Arabidopsis thaliana: one gene and its partner. The protein of the gene in region 2 interacts with the protein of the main gene of each other region in a pairwise test. Each region holds a gene or a part of one and is shown on either strand. Other genes may lie near its edges.

What was found.
Region 1: the proteins of IBR5 (region 2) and WRKY68 interact in binary tests that used the Arabidopsis thaliana proteins (3 or more experiments, as listed by UniProt).

Annotation. Positions count from the first base shown.
Region 1 is NC_003074.8:23,065,856-23,075,112, forward strand, and holds WRKY68 (WRKY family transcription factor), read right to left. Parts: upstream 5,225-9,257; 5' UTR 4,780-5,224; coding exon 4,517-4,779; intron 4,437-4,516; coding exon 4,287-4,436; intron 4,194-4,286; coding exon 3,773-4,193; 3' UTR 3,634-3,772; downstream 1-3,633. Other genes in the region: AT3G62350 (F-box/associated interaction domain protein), read right to left, coding at 5,225-5,911; AT3G62360 (Carbohydrate-binding-like fold), read right to left, coding at 7,165-7,270, 7,352-7,425, 7,509-7,865, 7,951-8,179, 8,543-8,634, 8,806-9,036, 9,213-9,257. UniProt on the Arabidopsis thaliana protein: Transcription factor. Interacts specifically with the W box (5'-(T)TGAC[CT]-3'), a frequently occurring elicitor-responsive cis-acting element.
Region 2 is NC_003071.7:1,586,664-1,596,011, reverse strand, and holds IBR5 (indole-3-butyric acid response 5), read right to left. Parts: upstream 7,820-9,348; 5' UTR 7,475-7,819; coding exon 7,229-7,474; intron 6,969-7,228; coding exon 6,869-6,968; intron 6,797-6,868; coding exon 6,739-6,796; intron 6,622-6,738; coding exon 6,515-6,621; intron 6,437-6,514; coding exon 6,174-6,436; 3' UTR 5,846-6,173; downstream 1-5,845. Other genes in the region: AT2G04570 (GDSL-like Lipase/Acylhydrolase superfamily protein), read right to left, coding at 1-76, 186-675, 897-1,265; LpxB (transferases, transferring glycosyl groups), read left to right, coding at 3,345-3,574, 3,688-3,787, 3,867-3,972, 4,349-4,575, 4,669-4,738, 4,848-5,086, 5,161-5,387, 5,488-5,671. UniProt on the Arabidopsis thaliana protein: Required for the transduction of auxin and abscisic acid (ABA) signaling pathways. Dephosphorylates and inactivates the MAP kinase MPK12.

The DNA of each region.
Region 1 (9,257 bases), on a different chromosome or scaffold from region 2:
CATATACCCTCAACTAAAAACCGTCGTCGTTTTGTAAGTTGTCACGTTCTTTATTAATAACCGGCGTCGTTTTACTTATGGTAATCAGAATGAGTTGATCTACAAAAAAAAAACATATTATTAGAAATCTTTTATGCATGCTCTGAAATCTCAAACGAGTTCTTATTATTATACATTGAAGAAGAGGAGTGAAAACAAAACTTTAAAATTGTAAGTAAAAGCCATTTATCATTAATCTAGAGTAGTTAAGAAAAAAAACAACAACATTATATCGTATTAAATCTGCCATTAGAAATGATGTTTGCTCACTAGATTAAATCTAGATTTGCAAAGACTGATGTTTGCTCACTAGAAATGTTTCTGTTGAAAATCGGGAAAACACCAATGTATCTTTGTTCGCTGCCATTGTTGAGGGTCAAAAGTCAAAACCGAGGTCTTGAGATGCACAGCATAGTCATGAAGACGTTCGGGAAATTTTATATTTATCGTTTTGTATGTTCCTGTAACTATATATGTCTTTCCCAAATCCAATGCAAATAGCAATAGAGGCATAAAATCTACAGAGAAACAACAAACATATGTTAATATTCAAATTATATTATCAATTTTTTTATTTTTTTTTTAAGTATATATAAATTTGCTTTCATAAAATTTGCAAGTTTGAGACGAATTAAACGTACGACATATAACCTGGACCATGTTGCATGCAACTGCGTTGGATAAACTTTCCGGTCCTCTCTTGATTTACACTTGATTCAATTTTTTCCCGACAGCTAAAGTTTAGGTTATAATATTAGTGATGATTAACGAAAACATTGTCATTACAATACTTTCAAACAAAAATTGAGGAAATTAGATTTGTTGAAATGATTATATCACAGGTACAAAAAAAAAAAGGAAGACAAAACTAAAATTCACTGACGATATCGAAAACGTAACCAATTTTTGTAATCCTTGCATATGCAAAGACTCATGATAGCTAGTCAACCAAATTATGTACATGATAATTAGTACCTTAACTCTTGGATGCAGACCAAACCACAAGGCCCTATAACTCGACATAAGGTTAAAGTTGGGCACACTGTTCTTGGATCATGAAAAATGTAAGAGCAAGGAGAACAACTGATTTGTGTGTCGATTTCACCTGGATGGTCTCTTGAAAAAGTCTCTAGAAGAATAGTTAGCGAGTTCTCGTCATCATGAGTCCTTGATCCAACAACAATTTTTGGGTTTGATGGGAAAGGACAAACCAGATGTTTTCTAACGAAATAGGTGGATTTGATCATCGATCTCCATTGTTTCGATACCGACTTGAATTGAATTAGAGATCTCACTGGAAGGTGTTGGATGATCTCTCTTTTACTAAATCCTCGGGTAGGACGGCAATCGTTTTAGGGTTTCTTCCCCTTTTTGCCACCTCCAGATTTGCAATAAGGGCTTAGGTTTCCTTTTAGCTTTATTCAATTGTTATTACAAATTTTTCAATATTTCTTTCTCTTACTAATCAACAGCATGTGAAATTACATTAATAACCCAAATGAATAATATGTAAACTTTATCGATTTACCCCATGATGCGTAAATAAAGTATTAATCGCTTATGTGACCATAAAGAAAATGAAATCGAATAATATCGCAAAGGTTCAAAATTCAATATAAGATAAACAATTTTAAAATAACACATTGGCGTCGTCCCTAGTATGGACTTACAAAAACACATTCATATATTGCCTGCCTCCTATGCTGGACCATCGTTCTTCGCGGTCCCGAAAAAGATTGCTTTCTATGTATAAATATATATAGTCACGAAAATTTAAGAATCTAAACCGCTTTTTATATATATTTCAGTAACAAAAAAGTTAGATGATTGAGTTGAGGGTGCTTTACCAACTGATACAACGCTTGGTCACACATATCTCTTTGTTCTTGCAATTTCTTAGAAAGCAAGCTAACCTAATTTTCACCACTTGCTTTTACACATAACTGGTTAAGCTCTATATCTTGATGGCATATAGATTTCATGCATCTCCTGATTTCTCCGCTATAAAAAGTAATAGTCGCACGTCCCAAAGTTTCATGTTTAGGCAGCAACTACAACGACGCTATTAACCTAACAGTTTCTGCTCGTTCTTGTCTGAGTTTTCCTGAAGAAATATCATGAAGAAAGATTTTTTGTTTATCGATTAGTTTGGTTAGGGCGATAGCTATTTGAGTTCGGAGTTTCGCATCTCCATCGATGAGTAGCCTTCGACGACACTCTTCATACCAATGGCATGTGTGAATATGGTGATCATCATTAGAAGCATTAGGGAAAGGCAGTTCTCCAATGCTTCGTTTGATAACAGATAATCCATTTTCGATCTCTGAAATCGATAATGAAATATTCACCAATCATCCATATCGTGAAACCGATTTTCTCCTTAATGATCTCATGATGGAATTGACAATTGAAAGATGCGATGATGTTTTTCATCGGTGGAGCGAGGCAAGGACGGAAATAGTATGACATTTTATTTATTTATTTATTTATTGAGTATGACAACAAATTTTCAAATTTTGCCAATTGCAACTTCCAAACAATCTTTCTTGATATAATTAATAATTTAAAAAGGTAGCCTAAACCTGCAATTTATCAGCTTACATAAAATCCATGTAAGTTTATATTTTTTTTTTTGGGGTCAAATTATTTGAGATTTTTTTATTATTGCATTTTATTAGTTACAATCTTAGAAGATATGTAGCGATTTAATAACTATTTTTACCTTAGGTTTAATTTTAACCCTTTGTCTCTTCTAACCATTAATTACGACAAAAATAATTTTATTAACCACTAATTATTGTTATTTTTTTAATCTAATCCAAAAAGATACAAGATGTTTGACTCAATTCAAACGTTATGTTTAATACTGCTTCCAAACAGCTTGAAGACGGAACGAATCTCAAATGTTAATTAACAAACATACATGAGAGTATCATAATAGACAATAATAGTCCACACGTCATTGTTTTTCATAAAAGTAAAAATCATTTATTAGAGGTTAGGTTAGAATTTGAATTTGTTTTACTCCTTCATTTTCGTTTTTGGGCTTTAGAGGAAACCACAAGAATAAAATAAAAACCAAAAAGAAAACGTTAAAAGTTTAAAATAGCAAGCGACATTGACACTTGACAGTGTATTATATATTTTCAACGCTGCAGGGTAATCATGAAATACAAGTGGTGAATATCTTTTTTACAATTATCATATATATAAGCTCAAGTTATCTTTTTCCTTAATTAAATATATACTGATCCATCCCATATCCTTTTCGATCCATGCATACATTATGTAACATAACATTAGTTTGGCTTTTTCCACATCAATATACCCTTTTGAATCCACCTAATTATGCTTCTCTGTTGAAGGGACAATCAATCAGAAATTAATAAGGTTTACCGACTTTGGCTCCATATGGAGAAAAAAACATTAAACCCTAGCTAGAACGTATCATTGCTCTCAAAATATTGTACATTGTTCGAGTTTGGATATATCAAACGGTTCAATAAGATTAATTAGTGTTTTCATCCTAGATCATCAAACGGGTTACTATAAAATAAAGGAATAGTATATCTCAATTAAACAAGTATGATTCCTCTCGTTAGAAAAAATACCCATCAAAAATCAAATACATGTGTCATCTTGAACATCATCACCCTTAATGATATGAGAGGTAAGGATCCTGACAATTAGAAAAAATAAACCTAGCTAGCTAGCTACATAATTATGCGATTAACTAATACTCTTCCTTAATGATATGAGAGGGAACAACATCCTGAAGAAGGCCATGATCTTTGACTAAACCAGCTCCATCCAGCAGATCCCGAGTTCGACTCTTCTTCACAACATGATCGTCATCATCATCATGATTAATTCCTTTTTCTTGCCTGTTAATGTACTCGGTTCCAAAAGAAGACGGCGCTTGTTGTTGTTGGTTGTTGTAATCTAAAAGCTGAGGAGGGAGTGTAGGGAGGCCAATGTGGGCCCTAGAAGCTGAGCCATTGGATGGAGAGCTGCCTTCTTTGGGCATGATGAGTAGTGGACGAGGATGAGTATGTTGACCTTCGTAAGTGGTGATTACACTGCTTGGATCACTGAATGATCTCTCTACTCTCTTCTTCACGTCACACCAAGTTGTTGTGCAACGGTAATAATTTCTTGCAAAGGGAAAAAAACACAACCCCTTAAAAATTTGTAAACCTCATAATTTTTTTAATCTATCCCAAAGGAAATATATGAGTGTTAATTACCTTGGAAAAGGGCTGTCTTTGACAGGTTTTTGACCGTATTTTCTCCACTTATAACCATCATCTAGATGAAGAACCTCACTCCTCGTGATGAATGACACTTTTGGCACCTTCTTCTTCGTCTGCTTTCTACTCATTTTAGTGAATTTAAACCTATATAATCCCAATTTTCAGCAAGCATATATAGTTGCTACAATTTGGTTTGCAAAACGAAAACAAAAGCTCAAACTCACCGCTTCTTTGTCTTATGCTGCTGTTCTTCTCCATCTTCTTCTTCTTCGTCATCTCCATTCACAGCTTCGCTCGAGGACGAGTTAGGTGTGGTCGGAAAATGCATCAACGGCGTATGGGTGGGTGTATGACGATGAACACCCAGTAAATCCATGAACCCTACCGGATACCTCTCCGCCGATAAATCGTGGAAATCAGACAAGAGTGGGTAAACCCTTGTTTGCCCTAAATCGTAAAACGGCATCCCAACACCAACATTTTCCATTATCAAAACACAGAGAAAGAGATCAAAGAGATTTTATGGTTAGAGAAAAAGAGAGAGAGTGAGGAATGAAACATGGATGCCTGCTAAATAAATGCCTTGAATTGGTGACCGGCTATTGTACGTGGCTTAATGTGTTTAAACAGTAATTAATCTGCGTGTCGTTTGGACAAGATACGTTTTCGTGTGTTTTATTTTTGACCGCTTCAGTAGTTAACCGGTATGACCAAGATATATGCTTTTGAATTATAATTGTAAAATCCTCAGCGTTGGATCATGTGCAGCCCAATACTTCAAGTCATTCCACTATACTGTACCTTCTTTAAATACAAAACATTTTTTTTTCTCTTCCTCTTTAAGTCAAGAGCTTTTCTTTCTACTTGTACTTGTGAAGTTAAAAACTCAAAAGCTTTTGAGATTTATTTAATCATAGAAGGTTGAAACAACATCAAACCAACAAATTTGATGGAGAAATCATAGTCGGCGAATACCAAATCACCGTTCTTATACTATCAAACGAAACTTGATTTTGGTCCTCTCCAATCCTTCGAAAGTGAGCAGCCCTTAGACCAAGCATCCAACATTTTGCATCTAATCGATCGATATTAAGAATATTAAAAGAAAACAAATGCTCCCATTTTTGAGTAGAATCTTGTAAACTCCAAACGTCTAATTCTGAACATTGTCTGTGTAGCACATCTGATAAGCACAAACGCTCATTTAGGCTCCACATTTGCACTCCACGAGTGTAACGGGTGTAACATTCCGGTATTGATACCCATCGAAAATTTTGTGTGTGTAGATCACAAGCTAATATCTGTGAAGGTAATTCTGAAAATATTCGATATTTCCAAGAAGTAAATGTTGTCCACCAAAAGAGTGATCCGTTTGCGTAAACCGGTGTTTGTTCATTGCAAATTTCGTGCTCATCTAAAACGTACCAACCGGCGTCTCGTTGCTTTCCATTATCAAGAGATATAGCTTTGATATTGAAACCATCAAAATATCCATGAGGATGATTTTTTTCTGAGTACATCAAAATCACCTTGTATGATTTTGTAATAATGTCTTTTCCAAATCCAACGCAAAATGGCCTTATGGTCACAAATTCTCCTTCAAATGAACAAAAATACATATATTAGAAAAATTGTCAAATATCCACTCTCCCGTCGTTGGATTGATTAAGTAAAGGTACTTAAAATCGTAGGTCCCAACCAAGACCAATCCGTCGCAAGACCCCAAGACTTGGATAGTTTCGTGTCGAGATTGGTTGATTGGATTATCAGGAAAAGTATAAGAACTAGAAGAAGAAAGACATATTTGTCCGTTATTGTCATGATCTCTTTTAAAAGTTTTCAAAAGCAAAGTTGTTGAGTCAGAATTTGATGACAGTTGATGAACAACAAGAAGTTTCGTGTTCGGGGTTTGTAATCCCCATCGAACGAGACGTTTGTGGGATAAATAGGTTGATTCGATCATCAATCTCCATTGTTTCGACACGGCCTTGAACTTAGCTTGGAAGATATTGAAAGATCTCTTCTAAAATATCATTTGATGTAATGATAGTCTCACGATTATTTTTGTCTTTCTCCATTCTTTTGCAACGAGATAGTTCCCAGTTGAGAGTTCTATATCATCAATATTATATACTTAAGAAAAAAAAAATATGTATCTAATGATCTAATCATCAGTTTTCAACTACTGGAGATTGAAAATTAATGACTTTGAAAAAAGTATAAAATTAATTTATGTAAAATTATGAAATATATAAATAAATCAGCTATATATAATCTTTATCTTTAATAAATACCAAATACAAAATAAAAAAGAAAATGTTAAAGATAAGGATTAAATATTTTGCTCTCACATAATTTTTTTTTAAGTACTAATACTTTGATTTATTTGTTAACAGTTTTTAATTGAAATTAATGTTTTAAATTTTCATCTATAAAAAAATCTAAGAGAAACCTTTTGATATCTAACAATTGTTTCTGTTATGATATTTGTTGTAACTAAATAAGATACAACATATATATATATATATAGTAGTGTAAGTGGAGATTTGTTGATAATTTAGTTAATAGAAAAAAATAAATAGGAATTCTCTCAGATGTATTTGAATTTTGTACCAACTGTATCATTAAAAATTAAATCTAAAAAGTAATGGTAAAAACTGATAACAGCGTTTTTGGAAATAGTCATGGAGAAAAAGATTCTAACACAATTCACATTTAAAAAAGAAGACTAAATTGACCGTTAAGAGTGTTTCTCTAAACTTTAAAATGGATTAGAGGAGTTTCTGAGTTCTGCAATGTTTTGAATAAATTCCCTCTAACGATACTATATAACAAAAAACAAAAAAAAGAAGACCGAAGATGAATAAATTCTTCAGAACGTCTTCTTTCTAGCAACAGCTTTTCGAGGTTCTCTCTTGGCAGATGTAGTGAACCCGGGAGACGAAATTCCAACCGTGGCTTGGTAGATGTCTTTCAACCTTTTTTTTATAAGCATGTGGATTACTAGTTGTGGAAATGTTCCAAATTACAAATGTTACAGTTTGGTAATAAATTATTACCTGGGGATGCTGAGGAATAGAGCAATTGCCGAAACTCCAATAACCAGTGGCAATATAGCTGCAGGTGTCACTTCCTGAAGTCGATACAAATCAAACCACAATGAGCAAACAAGAATAATGGAAAAAATGTCGAAGATTATGTAAGTTATCTATTTACCTGACTCTGATGATCTGCCACAATGCTGTATCGAAGTGGACCAATATGGATTTGGGCATTGGTCTCGAAATCAACTTCAATAATCTCTGATTCTACTTTGTGGGAGATCAAAGGACGACTGGATTTAAGCTGCACAAGGTGCTTACCTTTGGGTAAGCCTTTTACTTGGAAGAAGTTGGAGAGTGGTAGTGGAAAGACATTCTCTATCTTAGATTTATCAATGGCTGATTTGATCTCCACTAGCAGATTCGAGTTTAGATCTTCGTTTTGTTTTCCTTCGACATGGCATGTCAATATGGTCGTTTCTGGTTGTTCAAATACCAAAAAGTCGAGCCCATTGATATCTTCATAACCAATCTATAAGACAATACAATGGTCAGGTAAACTCTGTTGAAATTGCGGATGATGAGAATGAACATTATATGGACAAACAGAAACAAACCTGAAGAGAAACCGACTCTGGAGATGCACGTTCAATTTGATTGTTGGCTGAACCAATTTTCTTCGACACTTTAATTACATATGCTGTATCTGGATGTAACCCTCTCAGTCGATAATTTCCATTAATATCGCTTGTAGTCTCCTCATAGTATCCTTTGGAGTCAGAGCGAGCTTCAATTGCAACACCTTCTTGTGGCTGGCCCGATAGAAGAGCGACTCTACCCATTGCACTGCACAGGAATTGACAAGATATAATGTTACAGAAATAAAGAATGTAATCTAAGCCCACACATATGTGGACAAAAATCAAAATGTGCTAATAGTGGAAATCTATGAGATTGCAATTGAAACTTAAAGTGACCAATGTAGTATGTAACTGGTCATTTTGAATTGGTACAAGTTTCAAAAACAGTGTTTTGGTCTAATTTTATTTCAGGAGAACTGAAACCTTGGTGTAATCATACTTAAATAAGCAATTTTAGGAGTAGAAAGCAATTTCTTCCAAAATCTAATCAAGGTAACAGCTTATTTTGACAAAAGTAAAATCAGGAACGAATAGTGAGAAAAAGGATGATTTAGAAATAGATCAAAACCTGTAGGCAACACGAGTAGCCTCAAAGACAGCTTCACTGGATTCCCCAGAATTCAGTTCTATAGCCAGTGTTGAAGGTTTGAAAGAATATTCCTGAGAAACACGATAGATAATCAGAAAAAATTTCCTTAATTTCTTTTCGGCTACTTTAACGTTTTGAGAAAGCCTTCGAAGAATGTTCCCAATGAAAGCTATTGGCATTTCTATTTAAGATCACAGTCAGTCAAGCTTTGCTAAGAATGCAAGGGCGTATGGATTAATTACCTTAAGAAGGGGACGCAAGTAGAAATTTCCAGGGAATAAGCTATCAAACACAAAGAGTCCACCAGCGCCAGATATGGAATTATTTCTGTAACCATGATCGCCACTTAATGATAACAACAGTGGAGGTATTGATGTCTCAGCATTGTCCTTTGAGTTTACACGCACAGAGATCTGACCAAGCTTCTGGCAGGAGAAGGAATATGGTCCTAACCTTTTAATATGGTAGCCAGGCTGCATGTGCAAGCCAGATTAGGAACACATTATTTCAAAACAATTGAATGTAAGTGAGAATTTTAGTGTAGCCAAATGCATGAGATTTAACCTACGATTAGAAAAGCGAAGAAAAACATCATCTCAAGGTCAATTTACATGCACATGAAAAATATATCAGTATAATATACACCAACCTTTGAAGCTTCAGTGGCATATGGTATATCGTCATACAAAGGCCC
Region 2 (9,348 bases):
GGGTTATTCCTTTGACAACCATATCCCATCTCGAACATCCCTGTCGCGCAACATGCCGCTCCCACCACCTCGAACCCTTCATATTTTTCACCAATCAAACATTAATACATATAGTTATATATATACAAATTAGAGATAATATAATGAAGTTATTTATGATGGAATTGTTAATAGCTATAGCATACCAAAGGAGGAAGGGTTCTTGATGATCCGCATAAATGGCTCATAGGGATTTGAGAAAACGAGGTTGGAACCAGGGAGCTCTTTGCTCAGCTTCTCAACCATCTTATCAAGCTTGCTGTTGAACTGGACGGCTATGTCGTTGTACCGTCCTACGCACTCACCTCCAGTGCCAATGTTGGTGGCTCTCTCTAAAGGCATGCATCCCATTGGAGGTAACCCACCTAGTGAGATCTTTCTAGCACCAAGTCCATGCAACTTCTTCACAAATTCTTTCGCGATTCCGGCTAGAAAATCTTGGTAAAGACTGACGGAATATTGCGAAGAACGGCCCGGAAAGGCAAAGTAATTCTCGAGGAAATCGTTGGTCCCTATGCTTATGAGGTAGAGAGAGCTTTCTATAGTCTCTGTGCCTCTGTCTTTTCCTTGGTATGCTTTAAGTTTTGTTTGGTATTCTTTGTAGTATTCGAGTTGTTTCCATAGAGGTAGTACCGACTACAATCGCAATCAGTGGAATATAATTACTACATGTAGGATAATATCCCAAAACAACATTTGCCAACAAAACAACATGTAGTACAAAGATTTGTTACATTATATAACCAAGACAACTATGATAGTTATACTATATATCTCATCAATCATAAATGTCTATAAAGACGTGTAGTTATGTAACATATCAATGTAATAAATACAAGGGAGAGAAAAGTCCGTACCAGAACATCAGAAGTGGCGTTGTCATAGCCAGTGGCAGCAGAAGCAAAGGTAACACCTGTTGCAAAATCCGAAATGTTATAAGAAGGATCCAAGTACGCCGGAATGATTGGTTTAAGCCCTAAGGCTTCGGACATAAAATCCGTCGCAATCTTTCCGTTACAAAACCGTCCGGTCGGCTTTCCACCAACAAAGTCCCGTCCATATGGCTCAAAGTTGCTTCTAGCAACAGTTGGGATATAGTTGTTGTTCCCGGCATCAACGGAAGAGTCGCCAAACACGATGATCGCGGGTATTTTACCGGCAAATGTTACGGTTGAAGACATAGCTATTAGGAAAAGAATTGTGAAGAGACTTTTGAGGTGTCCCATAGTGTTTGTTTTTGTGGTTATGATTGTGATAGTGTGATTCCATGAGCTGTATAAAAGAATAGAGGCCTCTCTTTATAAGAAAACATGAGTGTTTGAAATGTGGTTTCATTGAATAAGGAGAGGTTTGTTGTGTGTTTCAATTAATGCTGAAAAATTCTGGTGAGACATTATTATTTTCAGCACGATTTGTTGTTTGGTCGTTTGCCGCTCCATCAATACTGCTCTCTTTTACCGTTGGATTGACTTTGCTATGTGTGTACTCTCTAAATTTTTGTAGTTATATGATTAGGGATATGACTAAAAAGGGAAATATTTGTGTATTAATTCTTCAGTTAGGTTTCAGTTTATGAAAGGAATTATCTGTCGAGAGACTAAATGATATATTTAGTTGAGTAGGGTCTACATATCTTATCTCATCATCAATTCAAGTTGGAATAATGTTTTGGGTTTTAAACGATATGGTCTCAAAATAGTTAAACTTTCTGAAATTAGGATCTTGATTACATGAAGGACCTTAGATTTAATCCTCTTTTTTTTTTTGTCAACCGATTTACTAAAAAAACAACAACTCAAACGAGCTATTTGTGGAGTATGTTGTTTATAAATGTGATATGATGTGGTTCGATACGGAGTTTTCGTGCCAAATTATCCGCTTTTACATCTGCGAGAAATTAATAATAAAAAAAAAGTGGAGAATTCTTCTCTATTGCTCTTAAAATCCGCCAAATATTCTGAAGGACCTTAGATTTAATCCTATCTCCATCAAAATATTAAGATTAACTTTGGAAAAATAAATGATATTTTTGCTTTTAAAGTTTGATGTAAGTAACATTTTCATAGTTTTATCAAATTCCATCGCCTTAACGTTGTTAAATGCAAGAATTTGATGTGATGTGATATAAGTTCACCCTTTTTGCATTTTTAGTGATCATGAAGTATATGTTTTATAGCCAAAATGAGAACTGAAGTACATGAACATAGCTCTTTAAACTAAAGCCCACAACAAGAAACATAACAAATAAATTAGGACGAAAAACACGAAACATCCAACAACATGACTTAATTATGAGACCATGTCATTCCTCCAAAGTATGATTGGAAGTGTATCTCTTTTATTACAATATTTACTATCGCCGGGATTAAATGAGACGATTAAGAAACATAGAGAGGATTTCACAAATATCTAAAAGCAGAAATGGTGTGATGAATAAGTCAATTATCTATTTTTCCCTTAAAGAGAAAATAAATTTAAAGAGTTTTTGGAATAATAAGCTTTTGTGTTTGTAGCTTTTCTTTTATATAGATTTCAGACAACCCAAAATTGAACAGTTTAATCTTTTTTATCCATATGACCAACCTTAAAAAAAAGTTAGTTTAAGAAAATCAGAATCCTAAAGGTTAATAAAAAGATAAGCTAAATTTATCAAATATTTTGATAGTCTTGGTTACTATTTTTATAATTGTCAGTCCAACTTTTTGCTATAAGCCCCAAATATCAAACTTTTTGCTATAAACCCCAAACTTATCCTAAGTAATACTCAATCTGTTCCTTTTTGTTTGATCCTTTAGGAAAAACACAAATATTAAGAAAACATATGAAATGTTGCTTTTAAATTTACTGTTTTTCGTGATTTACAATTTTCAATAACTCTAAACCAATAATATTTAATAATTTGTATCGAAGTTTACAATTTATCAATTATAACTAACAATTATTGCATTGAAAACCTAAAAAATAATCTTTTTTAAACAATTTTTTTTTCTAAACAATCAAACAAAAAAGAACAGATGGAGTACTAATTTAACAGAAGAAAAAAACTCTTACTTGATAAGTTTTAGATCCAAAAACAATAAACATAGGCCATTCAACATCTACAATCACTCACTGTAAGTCTATAACTATCACTGTCTCCTAAACAAGTATCACTATGACTGATGGGCCTCAATAACATGCTGATAAGAAGTGGGCTTAAGAGGCCCATTAAAGTCCCCATGAGAAATCTTGCTTTCATCGCAGTTCATTGTTTAACAACGTCACTTTCACTCTTTCAGAGTTTTTGATTCTCTCTCTTCTCCGAAATGATGTTTCAGATTACAAAGAGCAAACTTCGTTTCCCTCTCTCAACATTCACTAAGAGATACTCATCATTTCAAGCTGCTAAATCGGTGATTGACAAGGCTGCAATCGATGGGGAGCTCAGAGTTTTCATCGTCTCCGGCGAAGTTTCCGGCGATAACATCGGTTCTCGTCTTATGTCCTCGCTTAAAAAGCTCTCTCCTTTACCCATCCGTTTCAATGGAGTTGGAGGGTAAGCACTTGGGTTTCCCCCAATTTAGAAGTTTCTTATGAAAAGTTTTGATTCTCAATTGAAAATTTCATAAAGTTGGAACATTTGTATCTTTGCTTCTTACAAATTGATAGATCCTTGATGTGCAAGAAAGGATTGAATTCGTTGTTTCCAATGGAGGATTTGGCTGTAATGGGTGTATGGGAGCTTTTGCCACATTTGTATAAATTCCGTGTGAGTAACCTTTTGAATGGTTTGATATAAAGCTACTCTAGATTCTTTTGATTGACTAGTCTAGTTTTTGAGATACTAGGTGAAGTTGAAGGAGACTATTGATGCTGCGGTTAAGTTTAAGCCACATGTTGTTGTGACTGTTGATTCAAAGGGCTTCTCTTTCCGTTTACTTAAGGAGTTACGAGGTAAACAACACAAAACTTGTTTCATCAAACTTGTACGAGAGAATCATTGAGCTTTAGTGAATAGAATGCTTGCTAAACAGTGTCGCTTAACGACTAAGACATACTAAATTCAAAGCTTCATTGTGGTTTTCGAAAAGCACAGTTTTCTTGAATAGTACCAAGATTTATGTATGGAAGCTTCTTCTCCAGTAGGAACATGTTTTTGCGTAATTTGACACTAATCTCTAGGATGATGTCCTTGATTTTGTTTTCTGTAGTAGAAGTTGAAAAAGTAGAGAAATAGGAACCTTAGAAATGGCTTTTTGAAGCCAAACATTCCTGAATGAAGTCATATATATCATGTAGGACAATGGAGGAATGCTTTTTGGCTTTGCAGCTAGATACAAGCAGCAGCGGTTGGAAAATTGTTCTGTGCATTTTCACTATGTCGCACCGTCGTTCTGGGCTTGGAAAGGAGGAGAGTCAAGACTTGGAGGTCTGTCTGAATTCGTTGATCATCTTTTCTGCATTCTTCCGAACGAGGAAAGGGTTTGTAGGGAGCATGGGGTTGAAGCAACGTTTGTTGGACATCCTGTTCTTGAGGATGCTTCTGAGTTCGACCTTGTATGCGTTTTCTTCTTCTTCTTCTTGAATTACCTCAGTTTCTATGACACTCTGTCAGAATTCTAAGTGAAATGGTGCTCTTTTCTGCCACAGGTGAGAAGGTGCAAGCCTCAGGAACTGAAACTTGAAGGCTTGAGTTTTAGCGAACACTCAATACCTTCTGGTAATGTGAAGTTTATCAAAATGATTTAACTTTTCTACAGATTGGATATCTACTTTTATTGATATCTCATTGTTCTTCTGCTGCATTGCATAACTTTTCATGAAACAAGACTCCACTGTCATTTCGGTTCTACCGGGGAGCAGATTACAAGAAGTTGAAAGAATGCTACCCATATTTTCCAAAGCAATGAAGCTACTCAAAGATCCGTTTCCAAAACTAGTAACGCTTATCCACGTCGCATCCAATAATCAAGTTGATCATTACATTGGAGAATCCTTCAGTGAGTGGCCAGTTCCAGCAATACTAGTCCCTAGTGGATCCACTCAGCTTAAATATGATGCCTTTGGCGTAAGTCTTTGAAACCTCGTTCTAAGTGTCTCATCTGTTTACTCCTCTCATTTTGCGGTGTTCCATAATAACAGGCGAGTCAGGCTGCATTATGCACTTCAGGAACAGTTGCTGTTGAGTTGCAGCTTGCTCATCTACCTTCCCTTGTTGCTTACCGAGCACATTTTCTAACAGAGCTATTAATCCGTTACAAAGCCAAGATACCTTATATTTCTCTCCCAAACATTCTCCTAGACTCCCCAATCATTCCTGAAGCTTTGTTTCAAGCTTGTAACCCTTCAAATCTCGCATCGATACTAGAGTATATCTTTTTCTTTTCACCCACTTTTACTTTATATTTTGTTATCTGGCAATTGAGAAATGGGCATGATGATGACGTGAGATGTTGTTTGAAACTGTAGGAGACTACTCTTGGATGAAAAGATGAGAGAAAGACAAGTTGTTGGTGCTGAGAAGTTGATACAGCTCTTGCATCCGTCAGAAAGCAGAATGGGCAACTCAATTCATTGCACTGGTTTGGAATCTCATCGATATACGCCAAGCATTTTAGCAGCTTCGACTATTCTTAGTTATGCCAGGCGTTAAAAACTATCGTGAGTCACATGCCTTTGTTTGATACTAGAGTACGCTGAGATACTTGCTATAATCTAAGGTTGAATTTTTTTCATAAGAGTTCTAACATATGGTAAATTACAGTTAAAGGCGAAATGATCCATGTAGATTAGAATGTCTCAGCTTATTTGGTTTGCAGTCTAAGACAAACAGTCAAAAAGGGCTTTCGAAAGCATAAAAGGATAAAGTGAAAGTATTGAATGTCTAAGCTTATCTGCTTTGCAGAAACAGATAAGATCCTACTAGTGTGGCTTGTCATAACTGGTTTAATAGTATATTTCGCTGTAAAGATCGATACAGAATTGTGGGAGAGTGAGGAATAAACCAGACAAAGATGCTTCCAATCTCATGTTCTCAAACCCCAAACTCTCTCAAGCAATGCACCAATCTCCATGTACAAAAAAGAAAAAGAAACATTCTCACAACAGTATATTTGTTGATGAAAATTCTTGCAAGAGTATATGATTATCTGGTTCTAAGAGCCATCCATTGCAATATCACCACCAGTTGTTGGCTTTGGTGGAGTTGCTCCAAAAGTGAACTCCTGAGGAGGGATACTTGAAGCAGGAGATGAAAATATAGAAGAAGTAGGAGCATTGTTGAACACAGGAGCTTGTGCTTGATTATCAATCTTAGGGAAACCAAACCCAAACGTTGGAGCATCATTAATATTCATCGCCGACATCATCTCAGATCCGAATATCCCCTGCTCAAACTCCTGCAGTTGTTGGTAAAACTCTGTGTACAAAGAAAAAGCAATGAGTAACAGTTTCAAGAACAATAAGTAAGTTTCTAATCCAAAGTCTAAGTACTTGCCTGGACTTATGTCAGTGCTTGGTCTCCGTTGTTTAACCCACTGATGACTCTCAGCGAGTCTCCACCCTTTTCGTTTCATCAAGTACGCTACAACAACCGCTGGTGATCTGTCATGTAATCGAAACACAAAACATATCACTCTATTAGTCTAAATAATTAATGGTAATCATAAGAAAGCAGCCGCAAGTTTAGGATGAGAGTAAGAGAATGATAAATGTACTCACCTACTTTTCCCAGACATGCAATGCACAAGAACACGTGCCTTGTCCTTCTCACATTGGTCTACACAAAGCAAGACCGTCAAGAAAAAATCATAAAGATGAAATCTAGAAACTTGAGATAGAATCAACATACCTAAGAACTTAATAGCATCATCAAACTGTAAAACTTTTTCATTATCAAGACCATGATAAGTGAATGAATTCCTGTAGAGATTCTGGCACATAGGAACCGTCTGAAACAGAGTAACAAAAACAGAGTCAATACCAACAAATAGTAAACAACACATTCCTCTCTATTACCATAACAGGAACTTTAACAGAAACCATAAGTCAACAAAACGTATAAGTATAAGAAAGATTCATCTACAAGGCAAAACCCTAACTAAACAAACCGATTCAAAGATTCAAAGATCTTATCTTTTTCTTAAGGGTCATCATCAATGTTTAAAACAAAAGCAATTCATGAATTCAAAATCAAAGCAAAGAAACTCACATTAAGAACACGAGAGATTCCTTGAGTCTTAAGAAGCTCAGAGCGAGAAGCGTTGTCGTAACTACCGAGGTAAAGAAACTCAGGGAGAATCTCCGACGGAAAAGCACTGACGTGGACTTGTTGCGGCGCCACCGTATCGGAAGAAACAGGCATACAGTGACCACAGACTCCACATACTTCTCCTTCCTCGTACTTATGGTAATGCCCACAAATCGAACAAGGGTTCTCTCTTTCTCTCTTCCTCATAATTTGATTTCGAAAATTAAACCTAGATCTGATTTCTGATCAAAACCCAGATCAGAGAAAACCCTTGATTTCACAGACGGAGGAAATTAGGGTTTGGGTTTGGAGAAATTTGTTTGAACGGAAGAATTGGGAAGGACGGAGAAGAAGGAGAGACTTGAGAAGAGAGTTTTTTTTGTATGAAGAATTGTTTTCTTCTTCGATGGGATTAATACTGATTCGGATAGATACGTGCCACGTGGAGTTTAGATTTATGTAAATCTTCTTTAAACAGTCTCTCAGTTTAACAGGTTCTGTAATAGATACGGGAGAGAGAGGATCTCTAACTGAGTCAAAATTGTTAACTGAGCCATTTATTGCAGATTTACTTTTCTTTTTTTTTGTTCAGGATTTACAGTAAAAATAAAAAAGAATTTTTTTTTTTTATTTAAGTATATAGTCCATTTTTTTATTTAATTTTAAATTTCCAATAATATTAAATCAATATACATGACAAAACGTTTAAATAAAGTTACAGGCCCAAATACACAATAAAAACCGAAATTAGGCCGCATGTCCAAATAGATGGCAAAATGCCAAAAACCGAAACAAGGCTCCAGGTCCAGAAGAGAAACCAACTGAATCTTCTACTGAAAAACGCCAAACCAAGTGACAAGGAGAGATGGACATGGGCGGATGATCTGTTGAGCTCTTGATAAGAGATCGAGGTGACAACAGAGGATGTTTTTGATCTCAAGAACAACTGTAGAGGCAGGTTTCCATATATAGTCCATTTAATGATTGGATTTTGCTAATTCTGTTAGGGATATTGTTTTATGCTAATTTCATACTTATTATTATGTTAACTTGGTTTTAAAGGGTAAAGTAAAAGTTTAAATAATAAAGTTATTTAAATTTCTTTTATTTTTGTTGTCGACCGCTAATAATTTAGCTTAAAAGAGTCATTCCTAAGAAATGTTGTTTACATAGGTAATATGATGCGGTTCGATACGGATTTTTCTTGTCAAAGAATCCGCTATAATATTTACACTACCAAAAATTAAAGATGAAGAAAAACTTGTGAATTCTTTCTTATTGTTCCGTAATTCCTCCAAATACTCTGAGAAAGTCGTCCATTCGGTTGGAGAAGACACTATATTCACCAGGTCTGAACAGTTTGTAAAAAGTTATTTAAACTTTATTAAATACGAGAACAGTATTTGATAAGGGAAACTGAAATTAAATTATTTATTTTACAAAATTTAATAAATGTGACTTCTCGCAACGTCAAAAATATATGTACATATATATATATAATAAATGTTACGCAAATTATGTAGAATTCATTGTCATTATGTATGCATAGTAATTAACTTTTTTACGTCTACATAAACGATTTCGATCGTTGTAAATGACATTCATTATTTCAATTACAAGAGAAGTAATAAAACATTTTTCTCCTCTTTTGTCTCTTTACTATTTAGTATTTTGATCACTTTACAAGTTTAAAAATAATCTACTATTTATATTTATATCCACCATAAAAATAATTCACTTATTTGTAACAATTTGTAAATTTATAATTCGCTATAAGTGTTAAAATATAGGAGATTGACATAAATGACACTAAAAAGGTTTATTATTGCAAAAATGACACATTCTTTTAAAACTTGTACAAATAGCACACAAAAATTTTAATCCTCTAAAAATTAATTAAAATAAAATATAGAAAATACACAATATCTAATCTCATTTCTTCCAAATCCAACAGCTTTGCCTTCGAAAAACCCGACGACTTCGTCGCTCACCGGATCAAATCTGAAATCTTCAATGACACTCTCAACTAAGCCCTTGAATGAGATATTCTCATCTACCTCACAAAGGGATCCACCTTTGTT